Notamacropus eugenii: one gene and its partner. The protein of the gene in region 1 interacts with the protein of each later gene in a pairwise test. Links are inferred from orthologs where the notes say so. Each region holds a gene or a part of one and is shown in the gene's direction. Other genes may lie near its edges.

Region 1 (7,985 bases):
TTGAAAGTGCTTTATATAATTTATATATTTCAAGCCTCACATTGTTCTATAGCCAGATTGCTTAAGGAAATGCTGGTCTATATAGATAATACCACAGGCATTAAAATAAAAATAAAATAGTATTATTAATCTGAATGAAATCACCTTGGCCCTATAAAATGACCCATAGCTGTTCTTGGTAAATGGGATAGAAATCTACTTCAACATATTAAAGATACAACACACAACCTATCTCCCTTCCCTACCTCGATCAATATCCCACATAAACATGACAGAAGGATAAAAAGAAAGACTATTTTACTTGCTTCATCCCATAACATAAGGGGGAGAACTTTTCTCTTTCTTTACCCAGGATGAATCAACACAAGAGATTTTAAAACCAAAAAAAGACTCAGATCTCCTGGCCTAGACTGAAAACTAGTCTGTGTTTCTACGGTCTCCGCTATTTCTGACTCATGAGAGAGAGGGCTCAATGTCCAATGTTTTCCACAGCCCATCTGGCACTCACCATCTTCTGAAGCTCATCAGCAGATTCTTGGACCCGTTCTCGGTCATTGCTATCCACTACAAAGATAAGACCCTAGGGTGGGAAGAAAGAGCAGTTAGCTCACCCAAAGAAAATGAACCATAGTTCTATCTTTTCTATCCCTTTCCTTACATTTTCTATAACTCCACTTTCATCCATCAATGGACTCAACTGTCTTTCATTCAAAAAATGAAACAAAACAATATATATTAAAACCTAATTCCCTTTTCAGCATCTACTATATGCAAGGCACTAAGAGGGAAAATATATATACATATATATTATCTACTCTCAAAACACTTATTAATGTACAAGGATAGGTATACCAATATTGCGTGGGGAAGAATTTCATGAGGACCACTTAGAGATAGGATATAAGCAAAAACTACAGAAACATGAAAGGAAAAAGTGCTTCTGACTGGAGAAAGCAGAGAAAGCTTCACAGAAATGGAAGTGGTATTTGGGTGGGACCTTCATTGAAGGATGAACAGAATTTCAACAGGTGGAGGGAGGAGACTGGAGTGGGGAGAAGGGTGAAAAGAGGAATATTCTAGGTAGATGGAGCCATGAATAGAAGCATAAAGCGAGGAAAGCTTGTTTAAGAAACACAGACTAGGTCAAGGTGGCTAGACTCAAAAAGGGAATAATTGAAGAAATTGCTAGAAAGTAGAATAAAAGTTCCTTGAGGGCAAAGTGTTATTTTTATCTCTAGCATTTAATACAGAGTCTGGTACGTAGTAGGTGCTTAACAGATACCAGATATAGGAATGAGTTTTATTTTGTAGGTAACGGGGAACCATGGGAAACTGTATGTGTCTATTTAGCTATTTGTGCTCTCTGGCCCACCTGAGTGTTTTGGAAGTAGTGTCTCCAGAGAGGCCGAATCTTGTCCTGGCCTCCCACATCCCAGACGGTGAAACAAATGTTCTTATATTCCACGGTCTCCACGTTGAAGCCTGTGAGGAAAGGGAAAAGGGGGGGAAGCCTGGGGGGGAGGAGGGGCACTGTAATGTGGGCAGGTACATTCAACTCTACAAAAGCGACGGGAGATCAGCTTGGTCAGGAGAACTTCTGGGAGTCCCCCAGAAGAACATCATGCAGACTTAAAAGAATTAACCGAACTGGGCCCAGGGCTGCTGCTTCCACATCCTGGCACCATCAGCCAAAGACACCATGACCTACTTTCTTGGAGCAACTGTATCTAGTGTCAGGGTCAGGCCCCAGAGAGGAAATACAGGGGACGCTCACAGACTACCAGCCCTCCCCTCCGTCCCAGGAGCTCACCTATGGTGGGGATGGTAGTGACAATCTCGCCCAGCTTCAGTTTGTAGAGGATCGTGGTCTTGCCTGCGGCATCCAAGCCGACTGCAATAGAGAGGCAGGGTAATGGATACGGTACCCGAGAAGCTCCGACTGAGACGAGGAGGGAGAGGGCTCGGGAACGGGAAAAATGAGATCGGAAAGTCTCAACGTGCATCTCCCGCTCCGGGGAGCTACGTTAGGGGGGAGTCCGAGGGAAACCTGGGCATCACGAGCCATTTCTCTTCCCCTCCATAGAAAAACCCGCACGCCCAGGGCCAAACAAAAAACCCCACCCAAAGTGGGCCTGCGGATTCAAGGGAGGGCAGGACTCAAGGAAGGAGGTGGGGGCCCCACAGGGACGGGGGCTGCCTCTCCAGAGAGGCATTCCAGTCGTGTCCAAGGGCCTCGCGTGGGGGCGGGCGGCCGGCCTGTGGGTTAACCCCGCCCAGGCCGGCAGGTTCCCGGCCTGGGCGCCCGCAGGCTCCGGCTGCTGCTGCAAAGCGGAGGAGGCTGCAGGCTGGGCCAGCTGGGCTGCAGGCCGTACCTGTCTTACCAACCCCGCCCCCCGCTCCCGAGGGCCGGGGGTCTTTTATCCCTTCTCCTCCCTCACCCGCCACCCCGTGCCTCAGTTTCCCTCATCTCCTCTCTCGACCACCCCCACCCTCACCCCCGGCTCGGAAGGGGAGGCCGAGGCTGGGCGCGCAGGGCCGGGTGGGGAGGCTGCGGGGGCGGCAGAGGGATGCGGGGGCGGCGAGGCTGCGGGGGAGGCGGAGGGCGTTACTCCGTGGGCAGGGAGGGATGCGGGGCCGTGACGCTGCCCGGGACCTCACCCATGAGGATCCGCATCTGCTTCTTCCCGAAGATCCGCGAGAAGAGCGCGGACACCGTGAGGCCCATGGCTGGGCCAGGGAGGGAGGAGCGGGGAGCGGGGAGCCGGGAGCCGGAGCCGGAGCCGGCAGGTTGCTGGGGGGATGGAGAGCAGCAGCAGCAGCAGGAACCGGAGCCGCCTCCGCGCTTACAGGACCCGCGTGACGTCACCGAAGAGCCCCGCCCCCACCCAGGCCACGCCCCCATCCCGCACACCTTAAAGAGCTTAGAGCCCAACCTTCTCTTTTTGCAGAGGAGGAAGCTAAGGCTGGGAGGGAAGTAATTTGCTCGCAGTCACCTGGATGTAGGAGAGATGGGGTTCGAACCCTGCTCTTCTGACTCTAAATCACTTCTTTACGCCAGGAAAAACTGAAACAGAAAGAAGGCTCAGGAAGAACGCGTACCTCCCCCCCAGCATTCTGGAATAGTCTACCTTGTGTGTTTGTGGCAAGTTGAAGAAAGAAATTAGGGTCTCTTTCCAGAATATTGCCTCAGAGCCCATCATCCCTCCCACCATCAGGATCATTTGTAACAGATGCAGCTTCTCTTCCCCATGCCTGCCAGGGCACCCCAAGATGCGGTGTTTTTTACTCTTTAACCTCTTTCCATTCTTTCCCAGAGCCTCTGCAAGGTAAGGAGGGAATCTACGGAACCTGCCCATATTTCCAGGTATCACAACTGACTTACAATAAACACCAATGGTAATAAAACATTAATATTATGTGCTTTAAATCACCTTAACCTCTTGCTTCTACTATAAAGTAAGGAACGCATCTATGGACTTCTGCCCTGAGTTTCAGGTATCACAACTGACCTACAATAAACACCAATGATAATAAACAGAATAAGTATTAAGTGCTTTAAAATGTTCCAGGCACTGTGCAGAGTGCGGGGGTTATGAATACAAGCAAGACAGTTCCTGCTTTCAAGGAGCTGGGTTTTTTCAAGGGCATTAATTCTAAGGAACCCCAATGTGGTTTACTTACAATTCCCTGTACCTCAAGTAAATAAGAGGCAGGGTAAAGTAAGAATTTCTCTCTTTAGAGCAGAAATTTCCTCTTGTACTTTGTATCTCTCTGACAACCTCTAGCCCAGGTCTTGTCACATAGTAACTTAATGCTTGAATTAAATTGACTGGTAGGATACAGCAAAAGTAAAATAAGTTTTAGATCATAAATCTAGGGGAAGAAATCATATTCAAGTTCAGATGCAGTCCCCAGATTTGCTGCTTTTCTTCTCTGTAGTTATATAAATACACCTCTAAAACAGGGCTTTTTTTTGGAGGCAATGGAATTAAGTGACTGGCCCAGGGTCATTCAGCTAGTAAATGTTTGAGGCTGAATTTGAACTCAGGTCTTCCTGACTCCAGGAACTGTGCTCCAAACACTGTGCTGCCTAGCTGCCTCAACAATAGGTCTTTTGAGTTGGAAAGGTCATAAGTGATTATCCACTACTCTCTTTTGACAAATTAGGAAACTTTAATGAACAAGAGAAATAGTGATTTGTCCAAGGTTGCACAGGTAGAAAGATATTAGGGGAGAGATTTAAACTCAGGCCTTACTCACAAATTCAGGATTCACTTCCACTACACCACGAAATGCTAGACATCTGTATCAATAAACACTTGCTGAATTGAATGCAGAGATCTGCAGATGGCCAATTTGCAAATTTAGAGCAAACATCTCTCAGGAGGCACCTGACCATAATGGCTGCAGCTTTCTGGATCTTCTAGACTGGTGAATAGAATAATATGTATTCGTATAGTACTTAAAGCAAATTGCTTATTTGATCCTCACAACAGCCCTGTAAGGTAGGTGCTTTCATTCCCATTTTACAGATGAGAACACAGGCAGACAGGTTAAGTGACTTGCCCAGGGTCCTGTAACAAGAGGTATGGAGAACAGCCCCTCAATACTCCCGTCCCCAGCTTCCCATGGGGGGCGGGGTTCTCCTTCAAGCACTACAGACATTTTAACAAATATCATTTATACGGTGCTTTAAGGGGTCCAGGAGTCAAAAAGAGGTGAAGAACTGGTGGTCCTAGATCTGGCAGGGGGTCGCCTCCATTCCCTGCGCCGCAGTCGTGCATACAGGTCTCTCTATGCATTTTCCCCTCCACTGCATCAGATACCCTGACCAGCTCAGACCCCAGGAAGCAGCGCCCAGCCTCGCCTAAGAGCAACCGCAGCAGCTCGACTGGCGCTCGAGGCCCCTCCCCTTGGCGCTCAAAGGCCCCGCCCCTCTCCTTATGCCCCACCCCTTCGCTCTACGTCCCACCTCTCCTCCCCGAGCGCACGCCTATCCCGAATGCCCACCTGCACTTCCGGCGGAGCCGGAAGCGTTGTTGACAACTGACTTGAAGTGGTTACCGAGTTAGGATCGGAGCCGGAACCGGTCTGTCCCGCTTCGGGGGCGAAGGGAGCGAGGGGCGCCGCGGCGTCTGCTGGCTTCGTCATTTGCCCCGCTAGCCCTCTGGGGCCGGAGCCAGGAAAGCGCCTGACATGGCGGCCTTGGCAGCTGCACCCCCTCGGCGGGAGCGCGCGTAAGGTCGGACCCCTCCCCGCACTGTCCCCCCCACCCCAGACTCCGTGAGCGGTGACGTCAGGGAGCTGCCCCTGCCATGGAGAAGTTTGGCATGAACTTCGGCGGGGGCCCTAGCAAGAAGGACCTGCTGGAGACCATAGAGACGCAGAAGAAACAGCTGCTGCAGTACCAGGCCCGCCTCAAGGACGTGGTCCGGGCTTATAAGAGCCTGCTGAAGGAGAAGGAGGCCCTGGAGGCCAGCCTCAAGGTGCTCTCGGCGTCCCACGAGGCTGACGATGCCTGCCAGGCCCCAGGCCTTCCCCTGGCCGAGGCTGTGGATGACCGGTGCTCCACTCACAGTGAGGACAGCACTGGTACTGCCACCAGCCTGGACACAACGGCCAGTCTGACCAGCACCAAGGGTGATCTCGGGGTGGAAGATGAGAGACTGCCCGCTGGTCCAGCACCTCCGAAGTCTGAGGAAGCCAGTGGGTCGGAGAGTGGCGTTAGTTCCAGTAGTGGGGATGTGCCAGCCAGTGTTGGCGGGGAGATCGACAAACGTTTGCACCAACTGAAGACCCAGTTGACCACCCTGACCAGCTCTTTGGCCACAGTGACACAAGAGAAGTCCCGCATGGAAGCCTCGTACCAGGCTGATAAAAAGAAAATGAAACAAGATTTGGAGGATGCCGGTAGGAAGGCTGAGGAAGAAAGGAGCCGACTGGAGGGGGAGCTCAGGGGGCTGCAGGAGCAGATGGCAGAGACTAAAGCCAGGTTGATCACACAGCAGCATGACAGAGCCCAGGAGCAGAGTGATCATGCTTTGATGCTGAGGGAGCTGCAGAAACTGCTACAAGGAGAGAGAACCTTACGGCAGGATATTGAACTGCAGCTAGAGGAGACCCGGGAAGCCCTGGCTGGACAGGCCTATTCAGCTGACCAGGTGGAAGGGTTCGAGTTACAGATCAAACAGTTGACCCACGAAGTGGAGGAACTGAAGCAGGAACTGCAGGCTCTTCGAGAGGAGAAGACTCATCCAGACCCACGGCTGGAAGAGCTTCAGGAAGAAGCTGCCCACCTTAAGAGTCATTTCCAGTCCCAGTTGCAGCAGGAAATGAGGAAGGTAATTCACCTTATCTGATTCAAATCTATAGGTGCTTAATGCGTGACTAAAAATATTAGACTTTTTCTTCTTTTCAAACCCTATACTGTAGTTGAAAGAAGTGCTAAATTTGTAATAAGAGTTCAAATCCTTACTATGCCACTTACAGCTATGTACCCATAGACAAGTTGCTTTATCTTATAGAACTTGGTATTCTCTTCTACAAAATGAGGGATTTGGACCAAATTTACCTACGAGGTCTCTTCATGCTTTCAATTCCTTTATTTTCATGGTCCTTACCCAAAATTTCTCATGGACAAATTTACTGGAAAATCTTGGTCTAATTGATGTTTACAAAAATTACAGAACATACGTCTAAGGGGATGTGGTATTTGTGGGTGCTGTCTGGAATTAAGTTGGAGTGCTTCCAGATTCTAGGCATTGGCTTCTTAACAGCTGTGTTAAGGAAAACAGTGAAGTACTGTATTCTATTTGTGTGGTTGATATTTTTTTCAGAAGGAGGCAGTTTCCTTCAGTTGTTCTCAATCAGGATTTGTTTTGGAGATGAATGTGCTATCCCAGAATACTGTTTTGGATTTTATGAGAATACCGCTTTTCAATTCTGGACTTGCTAGGCAGGGGTAGCATACAGGAGCGTGCAGTTCCTGAGGATAAACAGCAGATTAAGGGTGATAGACATAATATGCTAGACGTGTGACAAAAATGTAGAAACTGAAAGCAGAATAGAACTGTTCATGAACACTCAATAAACATGTATCTGTCATGTGCTAAGGCACTGTGCCAGGCAATGAGATTACACAGGGGAAAAAAAAACATTCCAGGCCTCAAGGAACTTAGACTCTACTGGGTAGCAGGTGTCAGGAAGAAACAATACATGTACACAGATAAGTATAATACAGGATAGTGTTTGAGAAGAGCAAAGGAGAAATCTAGATAAAGTGTCACAGGAAAATTTAAAACGGGAGAGAAAATTTCTAACTGGATGGATCAGGGATTCATGGAGAAGGATTCATTTTTAGCTTCTTGAGCTGAAGACAATGCTTCTCAGGGAATAAGTGTAATGCATTTGTTTTGACTTGATCTAGTAATAGTATTAATGCTCATGTGATTTTTGTCAAGTCACAGAAAATGACCTTAATATTATTTGGTGAGATAAATTCTGAGTCTTCAAGGGGTGAGGGCAGGGTTGCAGAATGGGAGTGGATAATAGTTTAAGTTTTGTTGGTGCTTGAATCAATGAAAAAGTTCTCTAAAGTTCTTCCCATTCCTACCAGCACATCCTATTTAAGTGCCCTCTCTCTTCTCTGCCTTTCCTAGATTCAGTGACAAGCTCTGCACTCTCTCTTAATTCATCTTTTTTGTTTCCTTGGTTTTTAGACTGCTTTGGCAGAGGAGCAGCTCCGTCAGTATTCTCAGATGGAGGAACAGAGGGTGGCTGCCCTAGAGAACCAAGTCTCAGAAGTGTCTGAACTTCTGGGCACCTATGAGAAGGCTAAACAAAAGGATCAGCTGGCAATTCAGAAGCTCAAGGATCGCCTTCTGCAGCTGGATATGGAGAATAAGACACTTGCTCTTGCAGCCTCCAGCCGTTCTCCCCTGGACAGTCACAATGAGGAGACCAGCCTGGATGTCAATGTTCTAAAG
Region 2 (7,715 bases), on another chromosome or scaffold:
TATATATGATTCAGTCCACTGGGGTTATGTGATGCTTTGAGAGTTCCTTTCAAAAATGGGGAATCTCCTTATTGCTTTGCACCTTTAAACATCCCCTGGGGAGATTACCCCAGTCTGACATAGTTGAGAGCTGTGGAACCTCAATGGGGCTCCAGCATCTCAGGTCTGCAACTTAAAGTACTGTTGACCTTCAGTAATCATTAGGAGGCCAATACGAATTCTGTACAGAATTCCCGATATCAAGAGAAACATGATCCCCAGGAACATAAACTCAGAAAAAAGGAACTAGATTCAGGAACTTGGATTTCATCCTACACCTGGCATTTAGCACCTTCCTCCATCCCGGCCAGTCTAGTAGCTGGCTCAGCCTGCTTTTCTACTTGTGCGTCTTATTAACGATCCACAATCCTTCTCAGGGCCTCGCTCTTATTCACTATTATTACTCCTGACTACTTACTGGGAGTCAGGATTCCAAACCAAACAACTCCCCGAGGAACTACCTTATCTTTAGCTACAAAAGCCGGGCGGTCACGGGCTGGGCAGGACAGGCGCACGAGGGTGGAGATCTGCCTCGAGTGAAGGGTCCCCCCATCGAATGCCCCAGGAGCACTCTGCACCCTGGGGGAGGCCTGTCAGTGCTCATCCTCGGGACTCCCCCCAACCATTCAGGACCACGGGAAGGGCTGTACCTTTAATAAGGCCAGTTGTCCCCCCGCGGATTCCTCACCACACTCTGCCTGCGTCCGCCCCCCATCTCCCAGGGGACCAGGGCAAGGTCCCGGGGCTCCCAGACCACGGCCCGTTCGCTCTTACTTTAGCATCTCCCAGCCCGGGGCCCCAGGAGGTTAAGGAGAACACACGGTGAATGTAGCTGGGGAGCCGGGAGCCGGAGATCTCCCAATACCTGAGGGCTTCGGTGCGAGGGCATCCCCCCTTCTACAGGGACAGTGAGCCCCAGGGGGGCGGGGGGCGCCTTTCCTTTCTCACATAGACTCCCCCTTCCCATGGGGCTGCCCCTCCCCCTCTCCGTCCTCGTTCTCACGGGGGCTGCCCCTCCCCCTTTCCGTTCTCACGGGGGCTTCCCCGCCTCCTCCCCCTCTCCACAGGGGCTGCCCCTCCCCCTTTCCGTTCTCACGGGGGCTTCCCCGCCTCCTCCCCCTCTCCACAGGGGCTGCCCCTCCCCCTTTCCGTCCTCGTTCTCACGGGGGCTGCCCCGCCTCCTCCCCCTCTCCACAGGGGCTGCCCCTCCCCCTTTCCGTTCTCACGGGGGCTTCCCCGCCTCCTCCCCCTCTCCACGGGGGCTGCCCCTCCCCCTTTCCGTTCTCACGGGGGCTTCCCCGCCTCCTCCCCCTCTCCACGGGGGCTGCCCCTCCCCCTTTCCGTTCTCGTTCTCACGGGGGCTTCCCCGCCTCCTCCCCCTCTCCACAGGGGCCGCCCCTCCCCCTCGGATCCCCTCCCGGGGCTCCCCGGCCCCGCTCACCAAAGGCTGGTTGCCAGCGTCTAGCTCGATGGCCCCGTGGGCCAGCTTCATGGCGCTCTGCAGCGGCTTCATCGCGCCGTCCCCCGCGGCCCCCGCCGCCGCAGTAGCCGCCATGGCGCCCGCCCGGCTGCGGGGAGGAGGCGGCGGTGGCGGCGGTGGCGGCGGGCGGGGCTGGGCATGGGGCCTGCGATCAGCCGGAACCTTGCGTCCAGGGAAAGAGGTCCCGGCGGTGCTCACGTTTAATGCACTTCCTTCCACCCGGACGGCGTTAGCGTACGGACTAACAGGAAGTTCCGGACAGCTCCTCATTAGCTCGGTTTCCTCGGGGAGGGGAGCGGGCTCGCGGCCAGCCCCCGGCGCGTGCCCAGCAGGGTTCTCCCCGCCCCGCCCTAGCCCTCTGCTGATGATTAAAGGGCCCGCGCAGCCGCTCCTGGCCCCGCCCACGCCTGGCTCCCGGAATCCTGGGAAAGCCCAGGAGGCCGAGGCCTAGCCCGAGGAGTTGTCATGGCAGCGAACGAGCGCAAAATCCCCAACTAAATGGAATATATACTGCGGAGGGTGGAGGAGCCCATAGCGACCCTCTAATCCAGCTCTTCACTTTACACGGCAGGAAACTGAGGCACAGAAAAAGGAACTGCTTCACTAGAGGTCACAGCAGTGCCACGCAGGAGATCCGAATCCGGGGAACGAGCTCTGGTGACTAAGACTGGGGGCCGAGGCCCCTCCCCCGCCCCTGCAGAGGTTGAGCCGGCTCCGGACTTCCGAGGAGGAAAGACCTTCCACCTAAGGAGAGCGCCACCAGCTGAGTCTGCGGAGGCTCCGGCTGCTCCAGCTCGCAGCTGTCAGTCGTGGGTCCTGATCCCGGGGAGGCCCGCTGTCTGGCACCTACGCCGGGCGGGAGTCGGAGGGACTGGGTTCTCCTCCCACCTCTGCGGCTTACGGTGCATGTGCAAGCCACTCACATCCCCTCCCCTGGCCCCACTGTCTTCTTAAGCCGTTTAGATGGGTGAAGACCCTTCCAGCACTTGCTCAATGATCCCGTGTGGAGACTGTTACCTCGGTTTTAATTGCACAGTTCAGGATAAGCCTCAATATCTAGTTACAATATTGGAGGGATCTGAAAGGTCCCCTTTTGTTTTTTCTTTAATTCAATTTTCTTTTCAGTTCCAAATTATCTCCCTCCCCTCACCCGTTATCCCTTCCCCACTCTTTCCTCTTTAAGAAGATATACGTTTGTCAGAATTGGAAGGAGCTTATCTTTCTCAACTCACGCCTTTTACAGATGAGGAAACTAAGGTTCAGAAAAGGAATGAGACTTGCCCCAAAGTCACCCAGCTAGTTAACGGCAAAGCTCTCTGAAGTGCTACTTTTTTCCCCCTCTTTCTACCACTTTGCTCCAGACTCATGATTAGTCCTACTGTTAATGTCTGGAGGATAGTAAATTTTGGGTTTGGTTATCCAGAAAAAGGAAAAGAATGGTTTCCGTCAGTAATTTGTACTTCACCGAAGCAAAGAGTAGAAGGACTTAGGAGGCTGTAGAGAAGTTGAGAAAAAAAAGGAAAACAGGGAGAAAGTTCCACTGGTGAACCTGGATGAATTAAAATTAATTTCTGCTTATCTCTTTAGCCTTCAGAATCGCAATACTCTGGCCAGTTCAGGCAAAGATGGGAAACAGATGAAAAATCCCACACTTATTGTGAGGATCAAATAAGTTAACATAGGTGAAGCACTTTTTAAACTTTAAAGCTTTGTATAAATAAATGCTAGCTGTTCTTATTGTAGTTGATTTTAATTTAGCCTTGTCTGTAGTCTTCAGCACCTCGGTCAGTTCAAGCAACTCTGAAGTCTGAAGTGCGGGTTCTAAATTAGAGCTCGGATAATTTTGTGACCTTGGGCAAATCTCTCTGGGCTTCAATTTCCTTCTCTGTAAGATAAGGATAATGCCAGCTACCCTGATTCCCCTCACGGGTTATGTAGATCAAATGAGATAAGGTATGCAAAGTATTTTGTAAACCATTAAGTGTCATAGACTACTGGGATAAGGGATAGAAGATAATAAACCTTGGAATGAGGAAGACCTAGATTCTCTCTCACACACTTGTCACCATGGGCAAGTCCCTTTACTTCTCTGTGTCTCATAAAACTGTTTGACTTACAAGCTATACTCGACTGCTGATCTGCATTGGTGGAAGACAGTCCAACACCAGGAGTTCCTGCTGCTTTCGAAATCACTGGTCTGGACCTCCCAAAAAGCATTCTTTAAATGTGAGTTATTATAGAAAAACAAAGCATTCATTAAATAACCACTGTGTGTACAATGTTGTGTCAGGTGTGGGGGTGATATAAAATTGGGGCAAGAAACAAGTCTCTGCCTTTAGAGATCACAGCTGGGAAGGGGGATGAGACGCTGGTATAAACAGGGATCATGTCTCACATTAGAGAAGAAAATAAAATGAAGTCTAAGACGAAGATTTTTATAAAGGATAAAAAGGAGGTTTCCGGAGGGATGTAGACCTTGAAAGATCTCTAGGGATTTGGTAGAAGAGGGGGAAGAGGACATTTCGAGCCTACGATGGAGCCTGAGTTAAGGCAGGGAGGCTAGAAAATGCTTTCCTGCTTAAGGGAAAAGCGTCCACCCTCAGCTTGGCGGGGTCTGGGATCGAGTAGAGGAGATTTCTATTAATCTCCTATTAATTAATTAATTCCTCTATTGGAAATTGGCAAAGGTTGGGTCAAGGTGTGCAGGAGCTAGCTCCGGGCAGAATATTTACACTTCAGAAATGGGCCAATCCTGAGTCAGGGTTTGAGTTTGTGGACTGTCCAGATTTAAGGAGGACAGATAAAGCATCCAAGTGAGCCTCGCACACATTTGGGGTCAGAGGAGAGCTGGTTGTTGAACATTTGCCCTCCGAGCTCGGCGCGGCCGCAGGTGAATCTGCTTTCCAGGGTCACAGCGGGAGGGCCAGTGTTAGTGCCCCCCGGCCCGGCCCCTCGCGGCCCCCAGAGGCCCAGCGGCGTCGGCTCGGGCGCTCGCTGGTGACCTTGGGCCAGGGCCGGGCCGGGCCCGCGCCGCTCTGGGCCGGCAGAGAGCGCTGCCGCCGCCGCCTTCGCCGCTGCCGCCGGGGCCCTTCGTGCCGCCTTTCCGGCCGCCTCTCTCGCCCGCCGGCCCGGCCAGGCTCCTCCCCCGGCCCCGGAGAGGGGCGCGGCGGCGGCGGCGGCGGCGACGGGGGCGGCGGCGGGCCATGAGCGCGGCCGGCCTCTAGCCGCAGCCGCAGCGGCCGCCATGAAGCGGGACCGCCTGGGCCGCTTCCTGTCCCCGGGGGCGGCCGGGAAGCGCGGGCTCGGGGCTGCCGCCACGAGAGGTCCGGGCAACCGGGTCCGGGCCCCGCGGGCGGGTGGAGGCGGCTCGGGGCCGGAAGAGGACGACGAGGGGGCTGCCGAGGCCCCGCCGCGGCCCGGGGGCAGCTGGGGCGGGAGGCCGCCCCGGGTCTGCGGAGAAGACGAGGACGACGACGAGGCAGCCGTGACCGTGACCGAGGACGGCCCCGAGGAGGCAGGTGAGTGCTGGCCCGGGACCCGCGTAAGCTCCCGAGCTGGGAGTTCGAGTCCCCGCTCCGCCCTCGCTGAGTCTGGTTCGGGTTCTTGGTGCCAGCCTCTTACCCTCTTCAGCTCCCGGGGGCCAGGGACCAGCCATCCCAATGTCAGACTCTCCCGAACTCCCAAAGCCTGTCTCCTCCCTCTCAAGAGTTTTACTGGGAGGGCATTTTTTAAACCCCTCCCCCCAATTCATCATCATCATCATCACCATCCTGTAAACTAAGGCCCAGAGGGAATCGACTTGCCCAAGGTCACCCAACCAGTCTCCCAGTCTTTTCCTATCATATTAGTATTTTTCTTTTCATACATTGTTGGAGAAATCTCTAGGAACCCCCCCCCCCACCCCCCACAACTCGCTGATAAAATCACAGACATCGGAGGGGTTGCCTGCTGTGTCCTCCTACCCCACAGGAATACTGGAGAGTTGCCTCCCAACTAGTAGGAATTAGGGACTTCAAGAATTTAGAGCTGGAAGAGGCCCTAGAGATCATTTAGTCCAATACTGATGCCCATAAAAATTAAGGGACTTGTCCAAGGTCACACAGGGCTTGGCAGATCCCAGCTGAATCAGGTTTGTCCTGTAAGCTGTCAGATTTTCTCAAATTCTGATACTCTACTCTCTGTCTTGAGAGCTTTCAGGCAGTGGTCACTTGTGTTGTACATTTGAAATGGTATCCCAAATCTATAAAAGTAGCCTTTGTCACAGCACTTCCAAGTCCATCATTAGCCTGTTTTTCTCAGGTCACCATTCATCTGTCCCCATGTCTTCCTTCAGTCACTAGAGGAAGTCATGTTCTTCATTAGCACATGTGTGGTACCTTTAACCCCCAAGAGTTCTTTCTCTTTGCATGACTTTTCACTATAGCTAAGTACAGGATCATTTCTTTACAGTCAACTTATATAGGAGAGAGAGGGATGGGGAGGGGGAGGGAGAGGGAGAGGGAGAGGAAGAGAGAGAGAATCAATTGTATGTTCTTTAGGTTGGGAGAACTGAACAGTTATCACTTTAACAATTAACCATCAGTGAATTGGTGCTATGGTAGGGACTTTGGACCCAATGATTCTAGGCTGTGTGGTCAGGCCCACAACCATGTATGTAAAAAGTATTCTATTCAACCTGATCAACTGAAGTCAGCTTGAAGATGCCTCTCCCAGAGTTCAAGTCTGACTCAGACATTCACTAGCTGTGTGACCCTGAGCAAGTCACTGAAGTCTGTTTGCCTCAGTCTCTTCATTTGTGAAATGAATTGCAGAAGGAAATGGCAAACCATTCCAGTATCTTTGCCCAGAAAACCCCAAATGGGGTCAGAAAGGGTTAGACGTGTCTGAAAATCGGCTGAACAAGAGTTACAAAGCCGACTTCAAAGTCCTTTGCTTGGTATCTAAATTAGGAGATCAAGAATCAATTTGTTTTCCCTTTAGGTAATACTTTATAACATTAGAAAGTTGGTCATTTAAAATTCCATTGTTAGATAAGCATTCCTCCTGTATTTCTTTCTTTTATCTGGCTACAGTGTAACTAGAGAGGGTGGGTGTGAAAGCCACCAGTTTGGTAATAAATTGGTTTCACAAGTGCTGAAAGCCAGAGCAGCTTAGTGGGGATGGGGACTTCGAGTGCATTTCATCATAGTTCAACTTGTGCTCCTCACATGCTACACTGTCCACTTCCTGATACCTTTCTCTTCCTTTTTTGGAGACTGGGGTGAGAGGAGGTCACTAAATCTCTGTGATAGCACCAGAACTTTGCTTGCTTTTCTAGCCCTGTTCCCATCCTTTGGCCCATTGAGGGCTAGTCTACCTTACTTTGCTACATAGTATTTACTTTGTTTCTTTTCCTACCAGCCACAGTTTTTGATTGGAGGCCCACAACTGGTCTGCACCTATATTAATTATGTTGAGAGTTAAAAGTAAAAATCACTAGGACTTACCTAGTTGTGGAATGGGCACTAAAACCCCAAGGTGAGCTGGTCAGAACCTATCTCTTGAAGCTGAGTAGATGGTCTTTGTTGAGAGTCAGGAGAAGAGTTCTGGAGAAGCTGCCAAAGCAGTTCTTTGGAAGATTCTGTCCTTTAGTTTCCTTACCAAAATGCAAGATGACAGCCAGCCTCTCAGAAATCTGGGAAGCCTCATTCTATCTTTGCTTCCTTAGTCTCAAACACTGTATTAGCATGAACAGAACTTTAGTTAAGCTGATTAGGGGACTAAAGTGTAACTCTGATCCTGGGAGTAAGCAGTGGGTGGTGCCAGACCCCCTCCCAGATTGGTGAGTAGGCCTGAAGTCTGCCAGAGAAAAGATTTCTTGTGTCTGTTTAGGGGGCACTCTGAGCCATAGTTTTACTGAGTCCACTGAACTGGGAGTAAGACCATGCAGAGAAGAGGAAGTATGATTTAACTAGGAGAAAGGGGTGGGGAATGGGAGAAAGGCCGCCCAATATTAATACTCTGCCTCTTCCAACTTGATGTGAGATGAGATGTCCATTAAAAGTGTCAGAGTTTGCATTGCTTCAGCCTGCCTCTCTTAGGTTTGGGAGGAGGAGAACAATATTTGAGGGTTTTGAGAATTCTTCCTCTTTAGGTCATGTCAGGCTAGAGTGTTGTCTCTAGGCATAAATAGTAGGAAACAGATTTATTCCTCTTC

What was found.
Region 2: the proteins of GCC1 (region 1) and ZNF276 interact in binary tests that used the Homo sapiens proteins (3 or more experiments, as listed by UniProt). The two-hybrid records come from large-scale screens. The link is inferred for Notamacropus eugenii from reciprocal best matches to the Homo sapiens genes GCC1 and ZNF276.

The regions. Positions count from the first base shown.
Region 1 is NC_092874.1:122,542,007-122,549,991, forward strand, and holds the start of GCC1 (GRIP and coiled-coil domain-containing protein 1), read left to right. Parts: upstream 1-4,982; 5' UTR 4,983-5,315; coding exon 5,316-6,341; intron 6,342-7,718; coding exon 7,719-7,985. Other genes in the region: ARF5 (ADP-ribosylation factor 5), read right to left, coding at 509-580, 1,373-1,482, 1,811-1,891, 2,659-2,902. UniProt on the Homo sapiens protein: Probably involved in maintaining Golgi structure.
Region 2 is NC_092872.1:707,617,752-707,625,466, forward strand, and holds the start of ZNF276 (zinc finger protein 276), read left to right. Parts: upstream 1-4,701; 5' UTR 4,702-4,763; coding exon 4,764-5,037; intron 5,038-7,715. Other genes in the region: VPS9D1 (VPS9 domain-containing protein 1), read right to left, coding at 1,481-1,789. UniProt on the Homo sapiens protein: May be involved in transcriptional regulation.